Linked DNA regions of Oryzias latipes. The protein of the gene in region 3 interacts with the protein of the main gene of each other region in a pairwise test. Links are inferred from orthologs where the notes say so. Each region holds a gene or a part of one and is shown on either strand. Other genes may lie near its edges.

What was found.
Region 1: the proteins of keap1 (region 3) and mad2l1 interact in binary tests that used the Homo sapiens proteins (3 or more experiments, as listed by UniProt). The two-hybrid records come from large-scale screens. The link is inferred for Oryzias latipes from reciprocal best matches to the Homo sapiens genes KEAP1 and MAD2L1.
Region 2: the proteins of keap1 (region 3) and ccnb1ip1 interact in binary tests that used the Homo sapiens proteins (3 or more experiments, as listed by UniProt). The two-hybrid records come from large-scale screens. The link is inferred for Oryzias latipes from reciprocal best matches to the Homo sapiens genes KEAP1 and CCNB1IP1.
Region 4: the proteins of keap1 (region 3) and dpp3 interact in binary tests that used the Homo sapiens proteins (3 or more experiments, as listed by UniProt). The two-hybrid records come from large-scale screens. The link is inferred for Oryzias latipes from reciprocal best matches to the Homo sapiens genes KEAP1 and DPP3.
Region 5: the proteins of keap1 (region 3) and wdr83 interact in binary tests that used the Homo sapiens proteins (3 or more experiments, as listed by UniProt). The two-hybrid records come from large-scale screens. The link is inferred for Oryzias latipes from reciprocal best matches to the Homo sapiens genes KEAP1 and WDR83.

The regions. Positions count from the first base shown.
Region 1 is NC_019876.2:30,701,516-30,707,646, reverse strand, and holds the start of mad2l1 (mitotic spindle assembly checkpoint protein MAD2A), read left to right. Parts: upstream 1-2,752; 5' UTR 2,753-2,873; coding exon 2,874-2,937; intron 2,938-3,406; coding exon 3,407-3,553; intron 3,554-5,188; coding exon 5,189-5,309; intron 5,310-6,131. UniProt on the Homo sapiens protein: Component of the spindle-assembly checkpoint that prevents the onset of anaphase until all chromosomes are properly aligned at the metaphase plate.
Region 2 is NC_019876.2:17,646,512-17,652,605, forward strand, and holds ccnb1ip1 (E3 ubiquitin-protein ligase CCNB1IP1), read right to left. Parts: upstream 3,866-6,094; 5' UTR 3,765-3,865; intron 1,987-3,764; 5' UTR 1,985-1,986; coding exon 1,682-1,984; intron 1,608-1,681; coding exon 1,286-1,607; intron 899-1,285; coding exon 729-898; 3' UTR 446-728; downstream 1-445. UniProt on the Homo sapiens protein: Ubiquitin E3 ligase that acts as a limiting factor for crossing-over during meiosis: required during zygonema to limit the colocalization of RNF212 with MutS-gamma-associated recombination sites and thereby establish early differentiation of crossover and non-crossover sites.
Region 3 is NC_019859.2:10,399,384-10,405,515, forward strand, and holds the start of keap1 (kelch-like ECH-associated protein 1), read left to right. Parts: upstream 1-2,788; 5' UTR 2,789-2,907; exon of another isoform or gene 2,908-2,911; intron 2,912-2,984; exon of another isoform or gene 2,985-3,002; intron 3,003-4,711; exon of another isoform or gene 4,712-4,770; intron 4,771-4,979; 5' UTR 4,980-5,823; coding exon 5,824-6,129; intron 6,130-6,132. Other genes in the region: sphingosine 1-phosphate receptor 1, read left to right, coding at 1-887. UniProt on the Homo sapiens protein: Substrate-specific adapter of a BCR (BTB-CUL3-RBX1) E3 ubiquitin ligase complex that regulates the response to oxidative stress by targeting NFE2L2/NRF2 for ubiquitination.
Region 4 is NC_019872.2:7,884,135-7,889,277, forward strand, and holds part of dpp3 (dipeptidyl peptidase 3), read right to left. Parts: coding exon 5,084-5,143; intron 4,875-5,083; coding exon 4,800-4,874; intron 4,636-4,799; coding exon 4,545-4,635; intron 4,369-4,544; coding exon 4,238-4,368; intron 3,942-4,237; coding exon 3,811-3,941; intron 3,664-3,810; coding exon 3,605-3,663; intron 2,669-3,604; coding exon 2,474-2,668; intron 2,386-2,473; coding exon 2,273-2,385; intron 2,176-2,272; coding exon 2,083-2,175; intron 1,985-2,082; coding exon 1,922-1,984; intron 1,822-1,921; coding exon 1,697-1,821; intron 1,332-1,696; coding exon 1,211-1,331; intron 978-1,210; coding exon 798-977; intron 1-797. UniProt on the Homo sapiens protein: Cleaves and degrades bioactive peptides, including angiotensin, Leu-enkephalin and Met-enkephalin. Also cleaves Arg-Arg-beta-naphthylamide (in vitro).
Region 5 is NC_019859.2:27,116,534-27,122,463, reverse strand, and holds the start of wdr83 (WD repeat domain-containing protein 83), read right to left. Parts: upstream 3,945-5,930; 5' UTR 3,699-3,944; intron 3,157-3,698; 5' UTR 3,144-3,156; coding exon 3,041-3,143; intron 1,714-3,040; coding exon 1,593-1,713; intron 1,077-1,592; coding exon 971-1,076; intron 823-970; coding exon 774-822; intron 541-773; coding exon 414-540; intron 333-413; coding exon 265-332; intron 1-264. Other genes in the region: wdr83os (protein Asterix), read left to right, coding at 4,314-4,363, 5,101-5,206. UniProt on the Homo sapiens protein: Molecular scaffold protein for various multimeric protein complexes. Acts as a module in the assembly of a multicomponent scaffold for the ERK pathway, linking ERK responses to specific agonists.

The DNA.
Region 1 (6,131 bases), on a different chromosome or scaffold from region 3:
GGGGCCACATTGTCCCGCTTATGCGGTCCCGTTCCTGTTTCCTTGGTTGTCCGGGCAGTCACGAATCAAGTGCCCAGGTTTCCCACAACCCCAGGAGGTCCTGGGTCAGCTCCAGTCTCTTTGGGGGCGGACCTTGGATGCCTGTTCGTTTCTCAGGGTCACAGCTTTTACTAGCTGGGTCAGCTCCTCTGCCCGTGCAGGCCCCTTGGTGTCAGGCTCTGATACACTTGCAGCTCTAACCTTTGGAGGGGCCTCAAGCTCCACCCTGGAGGAGGGCCTCCACAGCATTTTTCTCTCTGTGGCCAGCTCCAGGGCCTCCTGCAGTAACTTACGGTGCGCTGGTTGGGTTTGAACGCGAAGGTCGTCTGGTCCCGGGCTAGCTCTTCCTGAATGGCTGGGGGCATGTGAGCATAAATCTGGTTAACTAATCTGTCGATGTCAACAGCCAGAACTCTTAATTGCTCGCCTTGGCCGAAAGAGCTGCCCCGGTAATGCAATTGTAGCGTCCCTTTCCCACACACTGAGGCACGGAGACTTAATCTCTTAACCCTTGTGCTATTTTAGATGACCCCCCCCTTCCATTGAGGTGTTCTCCCTACCATGACAAAGGGGGATAAAGGTGGAAAGATTTCATGTAATCCATGGACACCAGTGAAGATCACAAATCATTGAAGAACAAAGGTTCAGAGCACTGTCTAGTGGGTCTAGATGACCCAACTCCCAACGTTAAAGTGCCTAGGATAGCACAAGGGTTAAGGTTATTTATTCTGGTTACTGTAGGCTGTAACCAATGCTGCACAACTTGCCCAGAAACTCTTGTATCCTCCCGCTGAGAGCACTCCCCCAAACTTTATTCCCTTGCTCCTGCATCAGCCCCATTTCCTTATTCGGGCCATAGCTGAACCCTATTGGACCAAACTCCCCAACTACAGGTTGAGCGACAGAACTGAGAGCCAATCAGCATTTCTGCTTGATGCGTTCAATGAACACCGGAACTTAGAACGCGACCCCACAGCCACCCAGTACACTGTGTTACATAATTTTTCACCACACTGGTTTAAAAAAATAAAAGACCCTTTTGGGTTATGACAGGTTCTTAAAAAATATTTTCCAATAACAAGCAAAAAGAATTGAAAATTGTAATGAAAGCTCTTCCCTCAGGATTATTTCAACTAATGACCTCTCCCCGTAACCCTTGTGCTATCTTAGGCACTTTACCGTTGGGAGTTGGGTCATCTAGACCCACTAGACAGTGCTCTGAACCTTTTTTCTTCAATGATTTGTGATCTTCACTGGTGTCCATGGATTACATAGCGCACCTCACTCCACTCCGTGCTGAAAACAAATCCACACACACACACAAGAAAAACGTGCCAAAGAAACTTCCACTACACACTAAAAAGGAAATAAATACAGTGAGGAAGACGCTGCCACAAGGGGCCCCTTCACCAACACCACACGCACTGGCGCCCGACTCACACCTATGCAACAATAAAAAGGAATCAGAGTCAACAACACAATAAATACAGCACCACTCTAAAACACATTAAAATGTATAATAAGGGTGGGTAAAGAACACGCAGTGGCTCATGACATCTGCAACACGTCCAGCCGCTAACAGAATCTAGTTAAAAGAGCAGAATAAAAATGAGTAACCGGTGATCTACATTCTCCGACAAGAGGAGCTTCAGCCATACATACCACCATGCAGGCAGGCAGCCACTGTCTGTCAACTCACTCCCTGTTCCTTATAAAGAAGCAGAACAGCTGAACTACATCCCCAATCAAGCAGGCATGCACCTGTCACAGGCCGACCTGCCGGTTACTCAAGGGTGGGGACATAAGATAGCACAAGGGTTAAATATCACAAGGCATCTAAAAATAGACCCTCTATTGACAATTAATGATATTGATATTTTCAATAAAAAATGCTACAACAAACATATATTTACTACTTTATATGAAAAAAGAAGCATAACACCTAAAGGAGAAATTTATTGGAATAATATTTTAACTATCATTTGGACAAAAGCATAGTTACTGCCAGAAACATTTGGCATAAATAACAAAATTAAAGAAATACACAAATGAATTCTACATAACATTTACCCCACACTATGTTCATATTCAAATTCTCAAATATAGGAAATAACTGTAGCTTTTGTAATGATTTCCCAAAATCAGTTCTTCGCCTTTTCTGCCATTGTCAATTCTCCCTTAAATTCTGGATCCAATTGAAAAGATTTATAAGCATGAACAGTACTATTATTATATATTTCAAACACATTCTTACATATTTTAACTCGCAGGATCAATTGGTAGGAAATAGTATTGATTTGTTACTACTTCTATTTAAATAAGTGCTGAGTAAAAAAAACCAAAAAAACAATTTTACAGGATTTTTGATAGAGATTATCAATTTTACTAATATCTTCAAAAGATTATTACATTCAAGGCATAACACTGAAACAATATGAGCTTTTTTGCTTGATGAATAGTTCCCTCTACTGAGAAATACTTTAATATATTTTTATTTATTTTTGTTTTTAAATTTTCCTTTTTGCTAACGATGTCCCTGTTAATTTTATTTACATACTATAATTTATTCTTTATTTTTTAAGATAACATTGATTTTTGCCATCTGACGGTAAACTTGCCGATGTGATGTTTACTGTTGTATAAATAAAGTTTCAAAAAAAGAAAAAAGTCATTTTCTCCTGTCTAGGGTTGACCACGTGGGGAGGTCTGTCTTTTTTGCGCATGCGTAGAGGTTGTCACTGATTTTTCAAATCGGACGGCGGGTACCAGTTTCAGCCTTCAGTGCAGCAAGAAGCCCGACGTTTCTTTTCAACGGTTGATTGTCATTTCATGAAATGACGAGTACTTTAAAAGGAATCACCCTTAAAGGAAGCGCGGAGCTGGTGGCCGAGTTTTTCTGTATGTTTCAACATTTGTTTCTGTACTAGCCGGGCTTTTCAACGGCTCTTCCTCATTTGTTGTGTGCTAGCGGGCGGTCGGGCCCGCGTGCTCGGTTGTTGTGTGTAGCCAGCGAGTGTATTTACGGCGGCTCCAGACCGAAGGCAGAGCCCTAAACCGTCGCAGCATTTTAAAAGCCTTCCTTCTGAAGCCAACTTCTTAAAGATCGAATGGCTGCTTCTGGTCGATGTGTAGGTTAATGGCGGCTTTCTAACACCGCCCACCGCCAGGTGTGCTGGTAAAGAAGCCGAGCGTCACCAGAGTTAAAGTAGGAATGCTAGATTTCGGGTTGAACAGACACAAACTACTTATCATCGGCTGAGTAACTAACGTAGAGTAGTGTGGACGAAAAGAGTGTTCTCAGTCTTTGACCTGAATTAACGTCACAACCCCCCCCCCGCTAATAACAGCCCCGTGATCCTCCCCACAGCCTTCGGCATCAACAGCATCCTGTACCAGCGGGGCATTTACCCCCCAGAGACGTTCACCAGGGTCACTCACTATGACATGAGCCTCCAGGTCTCCACGGAGCCCAGGCTGAACAACTACCTGACCAACGTGGTGTCTCAACTCAAAGGTAGTTTGTCCTTTCTTTGTCCTAAAGCAGGCCGTGTCTGTTAGGACTTTATTTTTCTATTTCTTAACATGGAGGCAATGATCAAGATGCAATTCCTGTCTGTCAGCGTCCAGCAAAGGCTTATTGAAGACAAGAGGCGTGGGATATTGTTTCTCTTTACAGATTTATGGGATATGGAGGTGGATGTTGGGATGATTGACACCTCATGTTGTTTCCACGTGTCGATGTGCCTAAATAGTGATGTTTTCCTGCCCAAAAGTCCTCTAAAAGCCCAAAGAGTTCATCATAATTTAGGGTCAGACGCAACATTGAAGAATTTACACAGATTTCTCAAAGTCATTACAGAAATGATGAAATGCATAGATTAAAACCGTAAGTCACATTTGCTTGATTGAATGAGACACAAACTTGTCTTTGTGGTTCTTGTCAGTTTGGTCTTGAAGTTCCTGCATCCCCTCACTTTGTTCCTCCTTCATTTTCTAAGAACTCTTTTGTGTTGTTTGGTATTGAATGGTAACGATTTCCCACTGGCTCTGAATAGAAGTTAAAACACAACAAGATCATACAGTTTTAGAAGTCTGGATTGATCAAATTGTTTGTATGATCAGGATATCCGGCTTTATGTTCAGTTCTGACGGCTCATTTTTGAAGTAAACAGAGGATGTAGTGAACTCTTAGAATCAGTCCCCCAAATTTCTACACAGTCGGTCAAATATGGTAAAATTAAGGAGCAGTGTAATAAATATCTACTGTCGTATTTTAATATGTTTAGATTTACTTATGATGGAAATACTTTTGGAGACTTTATTTTGTGTGTGTCTGATGTGAGGCTTTAACTTAGTTTGTCATCGATAAAAACGCCTGAGAATCTGAATTCTGTAACACTTTAAATTAAGACATTTATTTTAATTGAGACATCGGTATTGGTGTAGTAGTTAGCAAAATATGTCACACTAGTTTTATCTGGGTTAAAGGAGGATTTGTCGTCAGCCATGATTTTATTTTGTGTGACCCTTGTTCTATCCTAGGCACTTTAACGTTGGGAGTTGGGTCATCTAGACCCACTAGACAGTGCTCTGAACCTTTTTTCTTCAATGATTTGTGATCTTCACTGGTGTCCATGGATTCCATGACATCTTTCCACCTTTATCCACCTTTGTCATGGTAGGAATAACACATCCATGTAAGGGTGGGGTCATCTAAGACAGCACAAGGGTTAACTCTATGTTCACCACATTAAGTTCCCTATGATTGTTTGTAGAATGGAATAGAATAGATCTGTCATCAGCAAATAATGAGTTTTAATAGTTGTGAGACATTGAATATATCATTTATGTAAATACTGAATAGCAGCGGGCCCAGAATTGATCCTTGTGGGACACCACAAGCTATCTATCAAGAATCAGCAGAAAATTAGCATCCTGAAGACGTTTGTGTAGCTCGGTTCGTGTGTTGGTGGTGTTGAAACAGCAGGAATAGGTTTTTCTTGTGTCATGTTAGAACAGGCTTGTTTTCCAGATGGACACACCTGGTCCAGGTAAAACGGGACGGTGATCTGCAAATCTCTGAGCCTGGACTTACCTGGTCTGCGTGTTAGGCCTTAAAGCAGGCGTGTAACGCGGGTTTGGGTTTCAGAATGGCTGTTTGAGTGCAGCGTGCAGAAGCTGGTGCTGGTCATCACCTGCCTGGAGACCAACGAGGTGCTGGAGCGATGGCAGTTTGACATCGAGTGTGACAAGTCGGCCAAAGAGAGCAGGTGAGCCCGCTCTCCAGTTCCAAATGTCTCAAGAGGAAAGGAGCTTCTCCAGGGGCTGGCTATCCCACCACCGCTAGCGTGATCCGCGGCGCGCTGTGGCGTGGACGAGAAGCGCATTTCTTCACATAGGCGTGTTCTGAAGCAGAGTTTACATTTAAATGTAGGTCAAGGCTAGAAAACCCATGTTGTGTGTTTCTCTAGCGCTGGCAGCTAAATGCTAACGTAGAAGATATGCAGCTATTGATGACGCCATCCAGGACTGGTAATGTTCAAATGTTTCCATAACTGCTGGAGGGGGGATGGGCAGGAGCTGGGAGGAATTGGGATTCGGTTTAAACCTTAAAAAAGGTTTTCTGTGGGGTTGGGACTCGGCATGTACTCCAAATCAGGTTCTCATTCTGAGGGAGCAAACGTTTCTGTGGTTTTTATTTCAGGCTGCTGCTCTGCCGTCCAAATAGCTACAATGACTGAGTTTATGGAGAAAAGTGTCTTCAAATCCGGACGTTACAACCGCTCCACAACGTCATGAATAGTAGTCGGTCTGCTGCGTTAGCGCTCAGAAAATACACATCATGGGTTTTATTTAAAAAGTCACGCATAAACAAAGTCATGACTTACATTTAAATGTAAACGTCTGTGCTTCAGCGCACACCCACGTGAGGAAATGCGTTTCTCCTCAACGCCACAGCGTGACGCGGATCGTCCTACCAGCAATCCACCACGGCTCCTCCTTTGAATCACTGTGGGACACCACTACAGCTCCAAAATGCCCCTTCAGCTGGAGCCAGAGGGGTAGGGGGGCAGTCCAGCCTTTGTTTCTGT
Region 2 (6,094 bases), on a different chromosome or scaffold from region 3:
AAGGTATTTGAATGGGATTTGATTTGAGTTAGCTGGTTCATCACTGCTGATATTATTCTACCTACTACTACTTTGGCTGCAGCGAGATGGTCGTATTTGGTTCAAGGTGTTTGAAAGAACAGCATGTCAACCTCTGTCAATAGTTATAAACGATTATGATTATGTTGTTTTTGACAAAACAATAGTTCATTTATATTTATCATAATAGCAACAATACCATAAATACAAAGCAGTGTTGCATTTTAGGACTTTGGGTTGTGGTCAGTGAGAAATCAAACTAAACAGGTCTTTAAGTGAAGCTGCAGACTGCCGGTGCACAAAAGTGCAGTCCATAAAACATTCAGAAGTAGTTTTTTTACACACTATTTTTGAATCTGTACAACCACCAAAACTAAATATACAGTTAACACTACAGTGTTAGGTCCACACATAAAACCGACAGAAATATATATTTTTTTACTTTATTAAAAGAAGCAAACAGCTTTTTGTATCAGTAGTTGCTTTGAGTCTTCCTGCAGCTTACAAAAAACTTTACAAATATTTTTTTTAAATATCTAACTAACTTTTCCAAAAAGTGACACAAAAACATGTTCCACTTTAAATACAACAACTTTATAAGCATTCGATGATGGAAGACTTGTGTCACAAATGTACACAAAACTAACATTTTTCCTAAAGAAACCAAAACATTGACGTTTTGTCAGCAGCTGAAGGTGAACTGATTAGTCTCACGGTTTACTGACGAAGGGGCGGCCTCTGTCTCTGGCTGGGGAGCGGAACTGGAAGAAGGGCTTGGCTCCATCCGCTTCCAGGCAGGAGAAGAAGCGACTCTGCGCATCGGGGCGACGAGAGAAAAGCTGGGGGCTCCTCAGAGGGGTCGCCTGCTGAGACGCCGCTGCTGAATCACACAAATACAATTAACAGATTCCTCCTCGCTAGTGAAAAATCCTGCGACACAGAATCGGCTTCAAACTCCTGCTGCCCGTTCTCTGGAGGTGTCTTTTGATCAAAACACCTAACGGTTCAGCGCTCTTTTAGGGGTTTTAACGCTGCTCTTGCTGTGACTATTTCCTGTTCTAAACATGGACTTAAAATTCAAAAAAATGATTTATCTTAATTACATTTTTTAAATAAATTCAGAAATTTTTTTATGCCCCTGAGTGATTATAACACAAGACACTTTCCAAGTCAGAAAAACATGCTGCAAGTTATTGATATCAATTAAGCTTTTTTCTTCATGTTTGCCTTAAAACGTGGCCCAAATGAGACAGGGACGTCCTCTTACCGTGGTTTAAGTCTTGATGTCCTGTTTGGGGCTGTGTGTCCCTCTCACCCACATCCACCACCATGTTCCGCAGCCTCAGGGAGTCGTACAGCCCCTGCAGTTTCTGGTACTGCCTGTTTCTCTCCATCAGCCTCTCGGACACCTCGCTGTACTTCCTCTTATACTCCTCCATCACTTTCTTCAGGGATGTGATCTCCCCTCTCATGGATGAGAGCTCCAGCTCTCTGCTCTGGTTCTGCTGGGTCAGGAGCTTGTCCATCTGCTTCAGCTGTCCTTCAGCGCGGGAGAGACTGTATTCTTGATACATGCGCTCCTGATGGACCTGTCAGGAAAAAATAAAAAAATAAAATCAAAGCTGTAAGACGCAGAGGGATACTAACTAAGTTAAAAAGTGACCTGGTAGCTCCAGAAGGCCAAGGCACGAGCACAGATGTCCAAAACTACGTCCGGCCGCAAACCGGCCAACACCATGGCTTTGTACTCCTCAGATGGAGAGAGCTCTGTCCTCACGATGTCCAGCTTGCCGGACAGCGCAGAGGAGCAGGCGGGGCAGGTGGCAGGGGAGCGGCTGAACTCGCCAGATCCATGCTGGTCGCAAAAGACGTGGGAGCACGCCGTGACCCAAGCGAAGCCGCTCAACTTGCTCCGACACTTGGGGAAGTTACACAGCAGTGTGTCGTCACAGAGAGACATGGCCATGACTGAAAGGTACAGCAATGGTTTCAGTAAAGAGACCCGTGCAAAGTGACAGCTGTTGACAGGAAATACTGACTGTGACCATTAAACAACAAATTCTTTGTGATAAAATCAGTCAAGGGGTATAAAAAGTAAAGGATTTTGTGTGTATAGAAAAGTTAATACTAGTCCTCTTTGCTACAGATAATTAAATATCAAACTAACAAGACTAGTTTCTTTTAAATATGGAGATTCTGAGAGAACAACTTAATAAAGCATCCTAATATTTGATTGTTTGCACCTCACCACTAAACAATCATTGTAGACACTCGTTCCCCATTTGAACGACAGCAAGCAGAAAAAGTTATTTTGTTTTTTAACCCGCCATGAGGTATAGGGCCAAAGTAAAGAAACCCCCCCTCCATTTATTTTTTTAAATAAATAAAATTGAGCTACAGGGTTTAAATAAAAAGTGTACCTTTAAAAATTACATTGGTTGAACCTGCCTAATTCTGTTTGAATTGGTCAGAAATTATTACCATATTGCATTAATTAATGAAAAAGAAAAAGAACAAATTTAGGTTTTAAGTTTGACCATTAACTTTTATAAATATGACATTTCCCCACAAACAACTGTATTAAAAAAAAATAAAGTTCCGGTCCATGTTGTCATTCTAACAACCCAAAAGTAAAGTCTGTCTCTGAATGTTTGATTGTCTAGCAGAGGTGTCACACTCATTTTCACTGAGGGCCACATCAGCATATGAGCTGTCCTCAAAGGGCCATATATGACTTATACATGTAACTAAATGTAATGAAAAATAAATGTAACTTCTCCTTGAGGTTAAATAACTTATTATTTATTGATTATACATTTTTAAACTGACAATTACAGTTACATTTAAAACATCCCTTGGCTTGTTACTCTAGCATGAATCCTTTTAAATTTTGTCTGGTTATTAAAATCCACATAACTCCAGTAATGATAAAGATATGATAAAGACAAAAAATAAAGAAAAATAACAAACTGAGCTAAAAATATTATGTATTAAGCATGTATAACATTTGACAAAAAAAGGCTGCACACAGCCTTGCATCCAACTGATGGTTTGATGACAATTTGTCTGCATACACACAAACATTGAATAATTACAACAGCAGCTACACATAAATAATATGTAATCGACAAAAAAAAAATATTTTAAGAAATTAAAATATTTTAATTGAGGCCTTGAGTTTGACACATGTGGTTTAAGGGATCAGTATTAAATTCCCTTCAAAAAGGTGTAATAATTTGGTTGATATTGTGTAAAATACTGTTGCATATACCAAATTTTAAGAAGGTTTTAATATGTTAATAAATATTAATGGGAATCGAAAATTTGCCTAATTAAATTTATATTGTTCTCATAACATTTGGATTTTTAAAGTGATGATTAGTATTGGATACCCTTATTATTCCAAATAAAATAAGCTTTTGTTGAAATGTGTGTTTTTAGACTAGTTTCTAGGCTAGTATGGCTTGTTTTTACAAATGTTAAAGTTTTGTGGGTTATTTTTCTTTTTTATTCCATGAGTCAGAAGGAAAGAAAGTTCAACTTGTTAATTTTTAAAAAGACGTCACTGGCTACAATTAGCTAGCTACCTAGCTAGCGAGTAAATAAATAAAGATTCAAAGCCCTCGTCTTATCTTTAAATATTCGATTAATAATGCGTAAATATAAGTTTAAAGTCACATATTTAAATATAGTAATATTTTATCACCGCAACTGTCTTTTTTTATTCGTCAAATAGATGTTCTTACCACTTCGTCCAGCTGCAGGTGTTAGCTAACAGGTGACGCTATTCTCGCTCGCGCTGTGATCCGATTGGCTGAAATTTTTCCTTAGACAGCCACAGTTGATGGATGCAGCTTAAATGTTAACATTTCTGTTAATTAACTAAAATGAATGGATACTCTAAAAGTTTGCTATTTTTAACATATAAAAAGTCCAAAGTATATTGTTCACAATAAACATTAGCTGAGGCAATAGCTTCACATTAGCACATCTTTAACATTTGTTTGTGTCTATATTTAGGTATATATATGAATGCATGCAATTATTTAAAAAAAAAAAAACTTGATTCGTGGAAAAATATTAGCTCTGACTTAAAAAACAGAGACACACTCTGATGAAAATTGTGTTTTGGGTGATTTTATCATGTTTGTTTCATGATGGAAAGAAAATTAATCTTAAAATTGCATTTCTGAGTATTTCTTTTTTCAAATCGTTGTGAATCAGGAGCAGACATAAAAGGCTGTTTGAAAAAGCTTGTAAGTGTGATGTACAAGTTAAGACGGCGAGTCACAAGCTCCCTGCTCCGCTGCATTCTGATGCATCCACTTGTAGACAAATATATTTGTGTTCGTCTTTGTTCTTCCCTCATCTGAGCTGGCATTTGGCTCAAAACTGCATGGCTGGCTTGCTCAAACACTGCTCGCCATCTTTGTAACACCTGTAATGTCAGATTGGGGATGTGCCGGCTGAAAGCCAGCGAGAGAGAGAGTGTAAACAACAACCCCACACACACACACACAACTCAGAGGGGAATTTCGAACGAACTACTGCTGCTCTGCAGAAACTATGTCCTAGAAAACGAGACAGGTTTTTTGTTTGGAGCTAAAAACTGCATAATCCCAGGTAAAAGTTCAGTGGGAACGCTCTGAAAATAAATAAAAAAGATGATCAGAGAGGGACTTAAAGTAAGGCAGTCAGAAGAAAAAATTAGGATATCACATATTTTCATTGTAGAGCGCATCGTTAATAGACATTTGCTGCTTTCTCACAAATGTAACGTGTCAAAATGTTGCTTAATTTATACATCATAATAATAATGCATGAATCCTGATCATGTCTGAGTCTTAAAAGTGTACTTAAAGTCAAGTTATAGTGGCATCCATCGATCCCTCCTCTAAACCTGCTTTATGGGGCAACAATCTTGATTAAGCAGAGGTGAAAGTTTCATCTTTGTTGGAATTTAACAATATAAAGCCATTACCTAAAACTATGAGCAAAGGGAAAACTGGGTCAAGAACACTCAATCAAATTTGGTTGAAGTCATTCAAATCCATGGATGAATTGTGTTCTGAAGCTGTTTTTCAGGTAAAAATAACATTTGTTTTGGATATATTTTGTTGCACAAATTAATAATTTTGTAAGTTTAGTTCAGTCTCAATGTTGTCATTACTACATGGGTTTTTGAAAAAGAGATTTAAAAATATTGAATCAATACTTAATGGCATTGCTTTTAAAATCATATAGTTTTCTATAGAGTTTTGTCAGAAACGCCTATAACTTCTGTGAAAACCTGAGATTAAAAATGAACAAACTTCTCCTTTTTCATTTAAAGTTATATCATCATGATTCCACAGAGGACAGTAGATGATGTATATGGTTCACCTAAACATGCCACCTTCACCTCCTCCTCCTCCTCCTCCCACGTTCCCTCCCTCTGCCCTCTCTCCTGCTTTTATCCGTCCCTCCACGTGGTACAGGAGTAAAGGCGGGGGGTGAAAGAGGCGCATTGTGCTGTGCAGCACTGGATCCGGGGGTTCACAGTGAGAGAAGGGAGATGCTCACTCAACTGTGTCCAACTCGCCATTGTCACTGATTCCCATCTATTCTCTACCTTTTAAATAGAGCTCTGGTGTAATTTTTTTTTTTAGTAGAGGGGGTGGGCATTATGCACTGACCGATAACACACGAATTACATCCATGCAAGTGGAATGGATGCGTGGCCTCTATTTATAACTAGCCGCGCGCGCGCTTGTTCTCGTCGGCTGTGATAATTGGCCCTATAGAAATCAAAGCGTGGAAATATTGACCGCACGGTCCTCTGTCATAATGAAAACGCTCAGAGGACAGTTTTAAAAAAGAACTTTTTTAAACAAACTATTATCTGAAAACCTCACCTGACCAGGCGATTATCAGAAAAATATAATCCCCCCCACCACCATTATTTAATGGTTGCGTCCACCTGTTGAGCATCCCCATTGTCGTAAACTTGCTTCTGTCATCTTTTTTTTTTTTGGTTGAAAGTTTGTGGCTGCTTTGGAGAAACCATGAAAAAAGAGTAGGGGGGAAAGAGACCCCG
Region 3 (6,132 bases):
ATATAGCTAACATTCTCATGTCTGGACCTCACACCTTAAAACTGACGCCTTTGCTCTGGTTCCTCAGGGAAGGGGGAGTCTTCATCACATTGGCCGCCTCTGTTATTTGTTTGCTGGCGATTGCAATCGAACGGCATTTCACTATGATGGCCATGCGTCCGTACCACGGGGCCAAGCGGGGACGGATGGTGGCACTTATCATAGCAAGTTGGGCCCTGGCAGGTTTTCTGGGGGTGCTTCCCATTTTGGGATGGAACTGCATTGGAAAGTTGGACCAATGTTCAACAGTGTTCCCACTTTATGACAAAAGCTACATCCTATTCTGCGTCTCCGTGTTCAGTGCAGTGCTTTTGGCCATTGTGGTTCTTTATGCCAGAGTTTTTCACATTGTGCGCACCAACACACAGCGCCAGAGGCAGGGCCTGACAGGACCCACGAGAAGAAGTTTATCAAGAAAGTCTAAGAAGTACATAGCCCTGCTAAAGACAGTGACTATTGTTCTGGGTGTCTTCATCGCTTGCTGGATGCCTCTGTTTGTCCTCTTCCTCTTAGACTTTTTTTGTTCCAGTGGCAAGTGCGAACTACTATACAAAGCCGACTACTTCCTCGGGCTAGCCATGATCAACTCACTCCTCAACCCCATCATCTACACTCTGACCAGTAGAGACATGAGAGTAGCCATTCTGAGGCTGCTGTGTCTGCCATGTCTGATTGCCACAGGCGGACAGATCAACAGGTTTGGGACGTTCCTGGAGTACAGTTTCAGCAGGAGTGAAGTGGGCTCTCAGAGGTTGGACGTGGGGCAGGAGTCGATCATTTCCACTGGAAACATAATCAACACTTCATCTCCAATTAAATCTATATATCCCAAGCTCTTCAAGTCATAGACTCTGGCAACAATGGTATTTTGGGGTATTTAGTAAAGCCAAAAAGTTAAGAAGTATGATAGAGGTGCAGCTGAATCATGCTTTGACAAATGCTTCACATTTTACAAATAAAAAATAAATGTGCGAACAGCAACAATACCATGAACTAGCTTTTTTAGGTAAGAAAAAAAGGGCCACAGTATTCTGGTCAAAATGTGAACTAAACATGACTTCTTGTCCTGATGGTGTGGAACAGGTAAGAAAATAGGTCAACCTGTATCATCCACATCTTCAAGTTGAATGGTCTGCTACTCCTGCTCTGATAAAATCCTCAGCACCATAACTGCTTTTGTTTGTGTACGTGGTGCAGTGGAGCTTTGCAGAGAAAGACTCTGAAAAGAGGGAGTTTTATTTTAAGAACACATGAAGATTGTTGTAGTTTTACTGTGGGAGGGATGAAAGTTTCTCTAATTCTCTTGATTTAGTTGAAAGTGAACCAACCAGACAAAGCAAAAGTCTTTCTATTTTCTGTTGGTCTGGCATTTTCTGTCCAGTTGCATTAAAATGTCAACACATCCGAGATGTGGCCAAAAAAAAAAGATTTTTGAATGTTATATGGTAATACTTAGACTGTGACTGAAACCACTCAGTTATGAAAACACAGTTCGGAATTTTTATCTTGTGAATAAAGTTTCATTTATTAGCTGCGGCGGGTGTTTAAAGGATAAGAATTTATCTGCACTTGTAACTTATTTTATGGGAATTCAAGAAAACTTCAGGGCTGTAACTACAATACTTCTTTCTGTCAATCATCACAAACGTTTCCATTTTTCTTGAGATATCTGCGGCTGAAATACAGTCGAAGTGGATGAATGTGACAGTTTTCTATTTTGTGCTGAACTTAATGTAGCGACAAATTTTTCATTACTGAAAAATATGTTTTTTTATAACACTTGTAATGTGAATTGTATTTTGTTACCTTCCTTTTCATTCAAATAATAAAATATTTTCTTAGGCGAACCATCACTCTTTTTGCATTTTGTTGTGTGTGATTTATGTGGTCTGAAAACACATCTGGAGGAGACATTGACTCACATGCATCCCGCTCTTATTGTCTCAGCAAAGCACAGTTTATCAGTGGGTTAACAAAAGACTTGGTTTCATTGCTCTGGTTTTGTTTGTCGTTTGATTCTTTAACAATATCGAAATTTTCCCAGATGCTGATTGCAGGTTTTTGCAATACTCCTGCAGACAGCAGTCAGGCTTTCTTTCCCACACTTGAACACGTGTGCAGAAATAATCTATAAGACGGTTGTTTTTATCTCTGCTGACAAATGAGCTTACTGACATGACTCAACAGAGGCTTGACCTTTGCAGCTGTAACTGTTGGCTTTTACTGCCACCTTGTGATTTCTTTTAAAAACAAGGCTGCTATGTAGGCTACTACCCTATTGACCCGGATTTCACAGTTTGCAGGAGTGAAAAAACTTGGTGTGTCAGCACAAGCCAAAATGTGTTTTGGTCCCATCTGAAGCAAGGCAGATTTTTTTTCTGATAAAAAATAATTGTTAGATAAGATGATTGCGAGAGAGCTGCATCATGTTTTCTTTTAATGTAGATTGGTTCAGAGATTTCTGAGTATGAGTGACATATGTATGTTCTTATTATAAGATTGAATTGTTCTTGTGTAGATGCAATGCTTATTTAAGAGGATAAACATATGAGTAAAGTATAACTGTAATGGTTGTAACAGTTTTGTTAAGCAATAAGTCACAATTTTAACTCAAAGTTAACCTTTTGGCCTGGTTTTCTTTTTTTGTTTTTTTTTAATTCTGAGACTCCTTTCCCAATAAAAGCCTACCACCCCCTGACGCAAACACGACTCATTGCTCGTCAATGGAGGCGGTCCCGACGTTCAGGAAGCATGCTTTTATTGTGAAGGCCAGTTGACTAGTACAATGCTTAGTCACGGTGAGTTACAGCCTCCCCTCCTCCTTCCTATGTGGCGCACAGCTCGGCAGAAAACGTTGGAAATAAGAGAGTACGTGAGTTGCCTTTACTTTACAGTTAAATTTTAAAATGTCCATCAGTACGGTTTTGTCAGTTCGGTTGAACGGAAAGTAGGTTTTTTGGGCGGTAAGACTGAGTACTTACTCTTTGTTAGCATGTTTGTAGCTATCAGTTCTCAGACGTTACTCCACTGTCTATTTTAGGGGCTTATTTTGCTGCTGCCGATAGCGTTACCTCCACCTCGGTGTTTTCTTCCAATCAATGAGACCGCGGAATTTTTTATCTTTTTAGACCTCAGTTTGGTCCACCTTCATCTGTGTTTTTGCTGTTGCATGCCAGCTCTGTGGCAGTTTCAGCCGAAAACAAGCTTGTAGTAAGTGTAGATGATGACCTTAGTCAGTGTGGAGTGAAAGCTAAACTTCGCGTTGTGTGAAAGTTCTTCTAGGAAAGGTGCACGGGATGGAAATCTAATTCCATCCCCGGGCTTACATAAGAACCAGCTCCACTTCTGGGTCGCGTTTTGGTACATTCAGTTCCACTCTTTCTGGCTTGGCGAATAGCTCGCAATGAGTCACCAACGAGGGAAGCTCTCCTCCTCCACCACGAATGCCAACAAAACACGTTGGACGCTCTTTGCTTGTCTTCGGCCTCGCCCCCTCCGCGTTGGCTGTTTCGCACAAAGTTTGGCGACGAATCTAGAAGTGAAAGTCTCTCCAAGTTGTTGTGGTCTCCACAGATTTTCTGCAGCTTTTTTTTAAAGTGACAGCTATTGATTGCAGGCCCGTTTTTTGGAGTTGCACCTTTTGTATGAAAGGTGCTTTATAAATAAAGTTGATTCAAATGGGGGTTCCCAAATTGAGGTGCAGGGGTTTATTGAACTTTTTTGTTACTAAAAATGACAATGCAACACAAACTCTCATTTTTTTGCAATATAAATATCTTGAGAAAAAAGTAAAATGACATAATAATGTTTATGTTATTGAAAATGTTACACTTTTTGAGCTCCTTGCTCATTTGGAAAAAGATTTGAACCAAAACAAAATGCTCTGAACACCAGCTAAATAAATAAGTTTACCCTCTCAGTTCAATACCAAAGAGATGAAATGCCACATTCACCAGACTGATACGCTAGCTGCTTGTTTGTGAGCGATAGCATGTTGAGCAATATGTTCTGGAATGTTCTGTTTTCCTTGTTAGTCACCAGGAGGAAGAAAAGTGCAGTTTCAAATCAGTGTCATAAAGTGTGTTTCGTGTTACTGTAAGTGTCACTGGCTGACTCCACAGCAGCCTTTAAACACATGACTTTTGATAACAAAATAGTCTTTTTCCTACTCTACGAACTGTAAAACACTTGTCTTTTTATCTCGTCCCTCAATACAACCTATGGTGTGTTGGTTATATAAGTAATCGTGTTAGGATTGTTGCTGACGGACTGACTCTTCCTATTCAGAGTTCACCAGTCAAATTGGCCACAGTCTGCTCTTTGTCTTTCATATCCCTGTTGCTTCATGTTCTGTAAAGGAGAAGTTGTGATGACAGTAAACTGGCCTGCATTCACTTTGTTGCACCCTCCACCCCTCTGTCATTTTAACATTATGCAATAGTCGAGTTGTTGTCCTCCCGTGGACCCGTGCCCATTCTGTCCTTGCTGACGTACTTTTGTCCAAACCAGCCTGGAGAGCAATCTCTGCCATGTTTCAGTCATGTTCTTGCCCCACCAAGCCTGAAAAATTCTCATGTTCATGTCTATCTTCATGACATGTAATAATTAAACAAAACAATGGGTTTGATTAACTGAAAATAATTAGTGTTTTCTATGTTCTTCTTACTATCAGCTGGATTGGTCACAGGATAAGAGTAAATACTTGTCAGCTGGATTTATGCCCAATTGAAGGTACTTTAGCAGTGTGTTTTTAAAGTCAAATATGTTGTTTTATTTTATATCTTTAATGTTAGTGTTTTTAGACTTTTGTTGTACACGTCTGTATAAAAAGTATATCTTTACAGTGGCATGTTAAAAGGTTCTTAACTGGGATCATGTGGTGACCACAGAATTTATCTGAGGCTTCCTAACACAAACCTTTTCTCTCCTTCTCCCCTCAGCTGTCGGCTAAATTCCCTGCCTGCTTGAAAGCAGCGGCACAACAAACGATATCCAGCTCTGGAAAATCTTAAGGAAGTTTTTTTTTTTCAAGTATAGACTTCAGTTCTTCCTTCTCCGTTTCAAAGAGCTCTCAGACCCACCAGTGACGCCTTTGGATCTCTTCTTGATTATCAAACAACAAGCAGTCAAACTGTTGGATTCCTACACATTTATCTCAACATTTGTTTTACTTTTAACGGTCATAGTTTAGCTTTGATCCATCTGATGAGTTGGTTCCTTTAGGGAATTTAACTGACCAACATAGATTTAATAAGAGACTTTCAGAGCATGATTTAATTGGCTACTGCCATATATTTCTTTTTATTCCTCCAACAAACAGGCATGTTTAACAGGCTTCTGTCAGTATCATGCAGGTGTGGAAAGACAGAGAGTTTTGTGACAAATGCAGTTGATCTAAAAGAAATCCCTTTGATTCCCGACTCTGTAGTTTAAACTTAATTACAGCAACATCAATCTTTAACTCCCATTCAGCATGCTGGAGGGCCAGTGTATAACGGCGTGCCCAGCTGGAACTGGCATCTCTCAAGCTATTTTCAATGTCATAACTCGCAGCATGACTCAGCTTGAGTGCTAAACAGAGCCAGGACATCTTCATGTGGTCATAAATAAGACTTTTGCAGAGACTAGGAAGGACAACAGAGACGCTGTGACAACTGGAAAGACTGGAGCTCTGCAAAACGATCACCTCGACTTCATTTCACATGTGGTGCCAGGATGCCCAATAACCGTGTCCACCGATCTTGAAGCAAAGACATTAAAGAGGAGAAAGACCCTTTCTAGGAAATGACAGAGTGCCTGACAGAATGCAAAGCGCTGGTGACGCCCTCCACGCGCAACGGTCACCGCGTCTTCAGCTACACGCTGGAGAGCCACACCTCGGCCGCCTTCGCCATCATGAACGAGCTGCGGTTGGAGCGGCAGCTATGCGACGTCACGCTGCGGGTGCGCTACAAAGACCTGGACGAAGTGGACTTTGTGGCGCACAAGGTGGTCCTGGCCTCCTCCTCGCCCGTTTTCCGAGCCATGTTCACCAACGGGCTGAAGGAGTGCGGGATTGAGCTGGTTCCCATCGAAGGGATTCACCCCAAGGTC
Region 4 (5,143 bases), on a different chromosome or scaffold from region 3:
GCTAACAATTTAAAGAAAAGATAGCAGTAGATGTACAAATATTCTGGTATTTTTGTTTTATAACACATATTCAGTGGTGATGGGCAAATGAAGCTTCATGAAGCCTTACATCCAATTGGTTCACTCCAGAGCAAAGCTTTTTGAAGCTTCATTTGCTCTAGTAGGAGATCTACTGGACATAAAAATATCAATTGGTAGGAATTTGAAGTGTGAGAGTTTGTAGAACAGCTGTAAATAAAACTGTTAGCAAAATGAAGAATGCAAAAGGTATATATTTAGAGATGGCAGTTTACTGTGTATATATGTATGTTTGGATATACTGGCAGTATGGCAAATGATTATTCGGAAACGACAAAAATGGAAATGATAATTTACAGTGAGGTGAGGGCTGTTGGGAGAAATTAGATCAAAAGCTCCTACACAGGGGACTTCCTCCTCTTTTAAGTTTCTCCGGAGTCTCCAAACTGTCTCCAAGATCTCTACCTCTAACCAAACTGTCTCTAAACTCTCACTGACTCGTGATTCTCCATCAAACACCCACATTTTGAATCTGAGGGATTTATATCTCTGTCAAAACTTGCGGCACAATCCAAAACACTTCATGAATCAATCACGTGGTACAGCTGGGCAGCAAAGCTTCGGACATCATCATTTTCCGCTCCTACCCTAAATGAAGCAAGCCTCGATAAACCCATCACGGACACGCCCCCTCCACTACTCGCCACACGCTTCGAAGCCTCGATATGGAGCGGCACATCACTAATATTGCACGTTTAAAGATGACACAGGACACGTACCTGCAGCTTACAGAGGAACCTCTGAATAGCGTGCTTTCCCACAGTGTGGATTTTGGTCCGATCCAGTGTAATCTGTGCATCAGGCTTGCCGTCGTGCCCCACCACCTCTTTGAGGCCCACCAGGCCCTCCCCGGCCTCCAGCAAAACACGCAGAATCACGAAGCGAGCCTGCATGTGAGCCTGAGGAAAACAGACATCAGTGACAAACTGCACAGGTCTGTTGACGCTCATGTAAACACAGACTGACTGAGCGTGAGCTTAATTATCCGACATAGACACGCATCATTCCATGAAACACATACTTAACAGTCTGCATGTTCACTTTTTTTATAAACACTATTCAAACTTTTTCTGGGCCTCTTGTAACACAAACCTTACAGCAGGAAAACGGGCGCCATGTTGCCAGACCTTACCTGTCTCCAGTTCTTGCTCTCAGGTGTGTAGAACTCCAAGCCCAACAGTCCTGCTCTGACCATGCTCAGCCAGTTGATATACACCACATCCTCTGCATCCTGACCCTCGAGGCCAAAAATACTACAACACACAAAAATGTATATGAACTGGAACTTTTTCACTGAAGCCGTCACTGAAATAAACTTTGAGGTCAGCCTCTTTTTCAGAGATAAAAATAATTTAAATTCGTTTTTACTTAACTCTTAACTTTTTTCAAATGAAGCAATAAGCTGTAATCCATTGTATTATAATTTTCATACATCTAACCAAACTCCACTAGAAGAAAATGTCAATGTTCATAAGATCTTTCAGCTACAATTACAATCCTGAAGTGTTTTATGGAGTTTTACCACCACTTATCAAATATTAATGTTGTTGAAGTAAACATCTGGTTTAGATCTTCATCCTAAAACAAAATTTTCTTGAGATTTTTTTAAAAAACCCACCGGAGCACTTCTTTGTTCAAGCACAGGTAAAGGCCGACACATTCAGCGCGGCATTCCTCGTAGGAAGAGGCTATTGTGGAGAATTTGCTGTCCCAAGTCTCGCTGCCCTGATACCAACTGGACACCTGAAAGACCAAGTGTCCCGCTGAGCTACTTTGTTCTGTTGAAACCCATTTATAATGGGTGTCACATTTGAACGTAGGCCATTAAAGTGAACGAACTCACCAGTTCTCCTGTTTCTGGGTTGATCACTTTATCCTTATTAAAGTTAAGCTTGCCTTTGTGATCCTGAGAGAAAAGCAAGACTACAGGTTATTACAATAAAGTATTCTACTTCCATTCCAGGTAATAGAGTTCTGTGTGTAGTTAAACTATGCTGGACTAACCTGAACAAAAAGTTTGCCACTTCCATGCCCCAGCAGTTCATGAAGTCCAACCTGCACCTCAAAGGATGGACCCTTCCATTTGATAAACAAATCCTAGAAGAAAATGGAACACAAGAGCAGCACACACATGAGAGCCATTTCAAAAAACCCTTAGCAGATAATGGCGACAGGTGTAAGCAGAACACCTTACCTTGTCCTCCTCTTTGAGGAAGGTGAGCTTCTCTTTCTGGGTAGCATAAGCTACAGCCAAAACGTTGCCGAGGGACACATTTTTAAATCCTTCCGACTGTCTGATGTCATCATCTAAAAGCAAGGAAGCAAAACAGTTTGTAGGGCAATGCTTCAAAACTAACAATTACATTTGTTGGTTTTAGAATCTACGAGTAAGTACAGTTGGGGATGTTGATTCCAGCTGGTATTCCACTTCCAGCAAAGGTGAGAACATCCAGTGAAGTAAAGTCGGGCTTCAGGAAGGTGTCCTTCTCAAACTCCTGAGGCCAAGGTAACTCGGACAGCAGGACCTCTGCAGAACTCACCAGCTTGGTGAAACGCTCGCTCATCGCCTTGTTCACAACCGCCACAAAACCTGGATTGGGCATCAAAACAACAGAGAATGAAACCCTCCTAAAACTACCAACCTTCAGACAGAATGAGCACTTCTGTCAAAAACTACACCAGGAATTTTCTTAGTCTTAGAAAGGATTTGCTGAATAATGGCAGAAAAGAAATAATTATTGTTGGGGTTTCTTTTTTTCCTTTTCTGGAAAAAAAAAAAGACAGAATAACCAGAGAGTGTACATTCTGCTGGTTTCCCTCAAAAATGAATGAAAGCTTATTTCAAAATGTGTAAGCTACTTCTGGATTCCTACTAATAAAATAATTATTACTTAGTGACCATGTTCAATATGAAAGTTCTTTTACTTCTAGTAAAAATTGTAGCAGATTCCTAAAGTCATGAAGATGAAGAAAGACGAGACTAAACTTAAATCCACCTGCAGGACACAGCTTCCTCGGTTCCTTTAATGTTAACCATGAATTTAAGAATCACCTCAATGACAATGATTGATTTTTCAGGCTGGTGCGGAGGCTTCAGAATGTTAAATTATCTGTGTCCAAAAATGTGTGAACATTAATCAACTGATTCTTCTTCTACTTACAGAAAGCCAGCTAAGATGTAGATTTCAAACAGGCCACCTGGTGAAACATTAGCTTGAGGCCTATGTTAAATCTGAATAGTATTTATTACCTGGAGCACCCGTTTTCATTTACAAGTCAAGCTAGTAATAAAATACTCTTCATTGAATAAAGAAGGTTTCATTTCTAGTTTGTTCACCTTGCTTCTTCAGTGCACTGTATAAACCCTCTACAAATTGATTTGGATTCAAATAATATGGATTCTAAATAATGAAAAACTTCTTCCTGAACCTCAAACTGAACAAGGACACCAATTAAATTGTGTGCGGCCTGTAGGTTCACAGTGTGGATCTCAATAATCACTGATCATGATCAGGTCAGGGGTTACCTTCAAACTCTCCCCTGGAGCCGAATGGATCTCTGTAGCTCTCTATAAATCCTATGTAACTGAGGACAAAGAAGAGGTAACTCAGAAATGGTTTACTAGAACGCCAACAATTCTAGGAGCAAAGGTCTGAGTGAAACTGAAAATAAATTGAGGCAGTAAAAATGAGATCTGTGAGGTTAAGTAAGTGTTTTAGTGCCGCGGTTCACCTCTCAACAATTGGTCCCTTGTCTTTGATCCAGAAGCGTGAACCCTCTTTGTGGGATTCAACCGAACCGAAGTTGAAACTGTGTCTGTACTGTTCCAGCATCTTCTGCTGGTTCTCATTGGCTGCATAAGCCTGCCAAGAGTCAGTAAAAAAAAAAAAAAAAAAACATTTAAAAAGAGGTAAAACTACATTTTTTTCCCTCTGTTATCAAGGCTTGATACATTAACAGTATTAGTTCATTTTTCTATGGCACTTAGTCATTGAACATGAATTCTTTATTTTAAAAAAATAATAAAAAAAACTGATAAACCTTTGAAGGCAGTTAAAAAAATTAAGAACAGATTGACTCCAACTAGAGTCAAATGTAGAAATAATCAAAGGTAAACTGAAATTATGATTAAAAGCAACTGCTTCCTTTGCTGCCTCACCTCTGCTTGTTGGAGGTAAAAACAAACTTTTTCCATCAGAGGACAATAGTCTCCTCTTTTCACAATAAACTCTTTGTCTTCAAATGTAAAGGTCCCACAGGAAGTCTCCTTTTCCCCGTCCACTGCGCAATCTGTGACGCAGTAACAAAAGTTATTGTTTTTTGTTAGTATCAGCATTGTCCGCTATGTCAATCATTTTCTAATGCTTTAAACTTTGCAGGCCAAAGCACGTCTGGTAACTCTGCCTGTCTCCAACATGTTAACCTTTTGGTTCCATCTTATTATTGGCTGTGATTTGATCTCTAACCTTTCTGCACTGCTGAAGCCAAGCGAACCTCATAGCAGACTTTTCCTCCATCGTTCCTTTTGAACAGACGCGTGTTGTACGCAGACAGTTTCTAGAAGCAAAACACACATTGTTACTTTGAAAGTCAACTTTTGTTAGCTAATGGGGGGGGGGGGGGGGGGGGGGGATAAATAAATGCTAAAACAAAACCGACTGCAATATGCAAAAGAATACTATACATGAAGTTATGCATATTAGTTATGCAATATTTCTTACTTTTGAATCAAGGAATCTCTGGGCCAACTCAGCATCCTCCAGAGTGCAGTTCCCTGAGAAATAGGTTGTAATTCCCTAAAGAGAGACAGAAGCTATGATTCCTTTTACATGCTGTGTGGCTTTCTAAAGAGCGAGAAATGAAAAAAAAATTGTTTAAAAAATTGTGTGAATCAGAATGTATAGTAAAGGATGCAAACATAGCTGTTGATTATTACAAAATATATTTCCCATTATTTAATTATTTTGGCTATTCCTACTCAGTTATTGGTGGTTGATAATAATACCTTGTCACCAAGACCCAGCTGTTTCTGTCTGTCTTCCAAAGAGTAGATGAGAGTGGAAGA
Region 5 (5,930 bases), about 17 Mb from region 3:
TACAAATACTTCAGGATACACTTAACACAGGCCGGCAATCGTACATTCTGAACGTACAGGACTGCAGGACTAACCTGCGTTACCTGTAACATGCGGCCGCACCTGTCTATGACACTCCACGTATCCAGACAACCCAAACACCTGCATCACCCATATGGCTGTATGTGACTAAGGCATTAACTTACCACATTTACCTCAACAAACTGAACTGCAATAAACACAGAATCTTTTGCAGTTTCTGTAAAAGAGAAAAAAACCTCTTACTGTCAATAAAGTCCACATGCAGCTGTCCCATTCTCAGGTCATAGCGCCTCACCCTGCCATCCACTGACCTAACCAAAGACGTTTTCTAGGGTTAGTAAACGGTTGACTTAGGTGATAATCATGAGCTTCTGTGATCATTCTTGGCTGACCCAGTGAGCAGCTCATGCTGAACCACTTTGAGGCTGCTGATGCCGTCACGAGCCTCATCTAAGATCTGGATGGGCTCCGATTTTCTTGATCGGTTGTCCCAGCACCTCACTGTCCCATCTATGGATCCTACGTAAAGTGAGAACAAGCAGCATGTGACAATGAAATGGGGGGCAAAAATACGGGTATAACATTAATTTTGTTGTATTTGTTTGTTGATTATGTTTTTTGCTTTAAGGTCACTCCTCTAAATTCTCTTCTCTTCTCTTCAGCACTTTGGGGCAACAGAGAACAGCTGTCTGGTGCTGAAATATTGCGCTGATTGTTAAACTACAGTTGTGTACCGGTAAGTGATTTCTTACCAGACAAGGTGACAGTTGCCTCCTCATTGAACTGGACACAGTTCACTTTCTGCAGAAGGAAGGATGAAATAAGACATTACAAATGTAAAGAGGGAAGCAGGAGTATGGAGAGACCCCTAAAGGCGAGAAAACTGTGTTTCAAATAAACCAAAAAACAAACAAAAAATTACGATGGAACAGTAAAGTGTCGAACTGACCCCTGCATGACCTCGGAGTTTCCGTGTGACCTGTCCTGTAGCGACATCCCATAAAATCACGGTCTTGTCGGAGCTGCAGGAGCAGATCTGACTGTTGTCAAAGGAACTAAAAAGAGAGCAAATGGGAAATACACATTTCTTAATTGCATCAAAAACACCACAAAGACATTTCAAAGTCAAAGTTATGGGATCAAATCAGGATCGGCTTCAAGTGAATGAAAAACCAGATGCAAATGTCAAAAATAGACATTGTAAATAAAAAAGGATGAAAACAGTTTAAAACTCAAAAGCACACATGTTAAACTTGAAGGAAATATTGATAATTTGTCTTTATGTATGTCCTTTGACTCATTTGAAGATCTCTACTTAAACCTGATGAGCTTTAAAGACGACATTGTAGTCATTCCAATCACATCTCATGTGTTTAGGTCGGATTTTGGGAAATTGTTTTTTTGGGAAGACAAAAGAAAACAGTAAATACTTTAAAACTACTGATCCAGTTTGCTTTTTTCTGCATTTCCTTTGCTGATGGTTTTGTAGTAGCCTGTAAGGGCAGATTTCTGTCACCTAGCCAATGATGACATTTGAAATGATTTGTAGGAAACAGGGAAGGTTTCCTCACCTGTCAGCGTCCAGAACCTCGTAGCCATGGCCGCTGTATGTCTTCAGCAAAGTCCCCCGACCCACGCTCCACAGTTTGAGGGATTTGTCGCTGCCGCAGGACAGGATGTAGTTCCCATCACCTGACAAACAGTGAGGGAGACGCAGGTATGAGCTTAAAAGAAGCATGTGTTGGACAAAATCTAAGACGAATCCTAACAGTTATGGACGGATTTACCTTTGAGGCAATGTTTTTATATTTTTTTCAAATAGAAGACAGATTGGTGTTGAGTGTTTTATTGAAAGAATTTGCTATTTCAGTCATGAATTTTCCACCTTAGTTTGAGTCAAATCCCTTAAATCTAAATGGTTCAGACCAAAAATCCTTTTGGACTCAAAATTAGAAAAATAAATCAACGTTTAACCAACTAAATGTTGTGCCATAAGCTGAATGGTTAGTTTTATTATTATTATTTTAATTATTCCATGTCTATTCATTTTTCAAAAAGCATACACCAGCCAGAATTAAGAGTCAGGCTCTTTTGATCAAACCAATGACTTTTTTTAAAAGTGAAAGCTTATATTTGGTAAAACAATTACTTTACAAATCATGTATAAAATGAAAAAATTCCAAGCTAATACTTCTATGTGCCATACAAAATACTTGTGAAGAGATAAAGAAAATGTATGTTTTACTTTACTTTATATACTTTACTTTATATATTGTAAAGCATTTTTAAAACATATAAAGTACAGTACAATGGAAAAGAACAAATTCAAACTTTCTTTTTTTCTTTCAGAATATATTGGGGAAATCTTTGCGTACTTTTGTTTGATTTCATTTGTAAAAACTTTCTGGTGAGTATGCAAACATGGTTTTTAAAGGGAAACTCGTTCTGCGTGGTCTTCTAATTATGATTACGCTGTTAGAAATTTGCCTCTGAGGTTTGGGAGAGACTGTTGATGTGGAGCAACCCCTCCCCACTTCCTGTCACCTTTTTGTTTACATGCTCTCACACTATCTTACAGCCCCGTCACACCCCCAACCTAACATTAGCAGTGCAGCAACAACGGCGAGCAGTATTGGAACTATCCAGCCATAACGTTTTGAGCCTGATACAAGCTAGAGGAAAACAAAGAAAGTCCTCTGAGTTTATAAATGTCCTCCATCATCAAATAAATTGCCACAAATACATGTTAAAAAAGAAAACATCATTTTTTTAGTGGATCTTTAATACATTATGGTTTTGCGTAATTTCATGCAAGATTTTTTGGATCATTTTACTAGTCTCTTGTTTGTATTACAAAAAGTTCAATAAAAACGTTATATTTTATTGAAACTGTAACAAAATTAGAGAGCTGGCACAATTGAATATTTGTCGAATTTTTTTTCCTAACACCTTTATTTCTCACTCTCTTTTTTATTTAATATCCACAATGTCTTCGCGAAGGTAATAAAGAGCTCCTCACCATTGAAGCGTACAGCTCTGACAGCTCCTTGCTGGCAGTTGATCGTCCTCAGAAGATGCTGGGGAAGCTGGGGGGCCTGAGGTCTGGGCTCAGGAAATGCCATAACCAGTCTCTTTCTAAATAATCAAAATAATAATATCAGGCTGGAAGACGGAGGATTAAAATTATGAAAATGCAAAACGTTACACTATAAAAGTGTTTCAATTAAAAATACAACTTTACTGGTTTGCCTTCCGGCTGTTATTGCACGTATAAGCGTGCGACCAGCGCAAAAGGTGATGGAATTCACATACGTGGAGCCATGATGCACACTGCTGCATCGTCCGCATGTGTTTTAAATGGGCCTCTAAGGCTGAATGTAGTTGTTGGCCGCACGTATTTAAGGTTAAACTTAAAGTCCTATTATATGTCACGGTCCTAGGTATGTGAAATGTGTTCTCCACATGATCCATCCCCTGGAGGAACGGTGAGAAGCAGAAACAAACATTAGCTGCTCTCCCTCAGTGAGTCTCAGGAACCATTTGGTGGTTTCACCCCAACTAACTACTGTTATCCTAACATGTAACCTTCCTCTGGAAGGTTGTGCAGCCAAGAAAAAAATGTTAACACTGGCTACACGTATGTCGAAAATGACGTGCCAAAAGACAATTTCTCTTACCTTTTTAAAATTTATTTTCCTCTAGTCTAAGCCTTGTAACTTTCTGTTTTAGCACTAAGTCACTTGACTAAATTAGTCGTAATTCACTTGTGTGTTTGTTTCCACACTTGATCTGTTCCTTTTAACTGGAAGATTTCGCGCTTTTAGCCATGTTACGTCAACATAAACCTAAACAAAATCACAATAATAATAATCGACATCTAGTTTCATTCATCTTATTAGAAATGGTTGCTAGCATGTACACGCAATGCATTTTGGGATCAGATGATCCCTCCAAAATAAGAGTTTGCATTTCTTGAATTGTTAAGTCCTTGTGAATGATTTAGGTGGTTCTACAAAAAAACTCTCGGAGAAAACAAAGGAAAAAAGAAATGAAATAAAATAATAATTCTGATCCGCACTTCAGATTGGTTGCACTTCAAAGCTGCTTGCCAACCTCCAACAAACAACCGATATCTAGAAGATGGCGAAACTTTTACTTTAAAAATCCCAAACCGGACATTTGAGCTAATGTGTTAGCTGAAGTTTCCTTCTCAACAGAGGCTGATAACCTGCGATTATCGGCGTTGAAATTCCTTCGCTTTTTTCACCTTCTGAGGATATTACAAACTCAATATGTCCTCCAATAACATGGCAGACCCGAGGAGGCAAAATAAAATTCTCAGGTAAAAGTTTTTGTTTGATTTTTAGAAAGCACTCCACTTTAGAGGGAGCTAGTAGCAGCTAGTTAGCTAGTACAGCTGAGTGAGTTGTCATGATATAACGAGTGCGTTAAATTGGATTAGCGTTTACACTGTAATCTATTCAGATACATATATGAAAAGAGATTGTTCACATTAATTTGGATTTAGTGAACTGCGGTTGGTTTTATTATGTTTTTACTTGTTAAATAGTTATTCTCTCTCTTACTTAAATACTAAAATTGGGTTGATTTGGGTGAATATTTAACTTGTGCTATCCTAGACACTTTACCATTGGGAGTTGGGTCATCTAGACCCCAAGACAGTGCGCTGAACTTTTTTTCTTCAATGATTTGTGAACCTCACTGGTGTCCATGGATTACATAAATCTTTCCACCTTTATCCACCTTTGTCATGGTAGGGAGAACACGTCAATGTAAGGGTGGGGTCATCTAAGATAGCACAAGGGTTACAGACCCACTCCGATGTTTGGCGTTTTTAATATTTTCATGTGGTGTTTTTATAATGATGGTTGACTTATATTAAGAAAATTAAGATTAATTGCATTCTGAGTATTTCGTTGTTCAAATTGTTGAGAATCAATCGGAAGTAGACGAAAGAATTCCATTGGAAAAATCTTGTAGGTGTGACGTAGAAGCAAATTTCATTTCAATTTTTATCACAGACCCTGTGTAGTTATTTCTGAATTTGTATTCTGGCAGATACAAGCCCCCCAGCACAGAATCCAACCCCACCCTTGAGGACCCCACACCTGACTACATGAATCTTCTTGGCATGATCTTCAGCATGTGTGGACTGATGCTCAAGGTTACTGGCACACACATTTCCACTGAACCCAGGGGTCTGCAACCTAAGGCTCTGCAGCCGCATGGAGCTCTTTCAGCCCCACATTACAGCTCTTTTTTTCTCTGAAGAAAAATGCGAACAATTTGAATAAGTAATTGATTTGTAGTTTTTGTTGTTGTAGATTTTTAGTTTTTTGGCATTCGTTGACTTTTTTAACATGTCAGATAACAGAGCAAAATGATGGTAAAGGCTTTGATATATTATCAGAGTAATTATTCTTATCTTTTGCTGGACAACAGTGTCTAGTTGCTGTTCAGAGGTAAAGTTAATAAAGTATAGAATTGCATTTACATGTATTGATTAAAAAAAATCTGATTCTACACCAATGTTGTCAAGGTAATATTTGATGGTTGAAAAAAGAATCACTGCACTCCAAAGTCAGAATGAAAAACAATGTCACGTTTAACTCTCTTGCATTTTTATATATATAAATTATTCGCACATAATTTTCAACACGTTTGGCCAGTGCTAAACCTTTTTCTTGGCTGCACAGACCCACGGTTTAAGGTTATGATTATGGTTACAGTTAGGGTTAAACCACCAAATGTTTCCTTAGAGCAGCTGTTTGTTTCTGCTGCTCACTGTTCCTCCAGGGGATGGATCAAATGTGGAAAACACATTTCACACACCTATGAGCGTGACAGATAATGGGACTTTAACTTAAAGTTCAATTTGAAACAAGTGT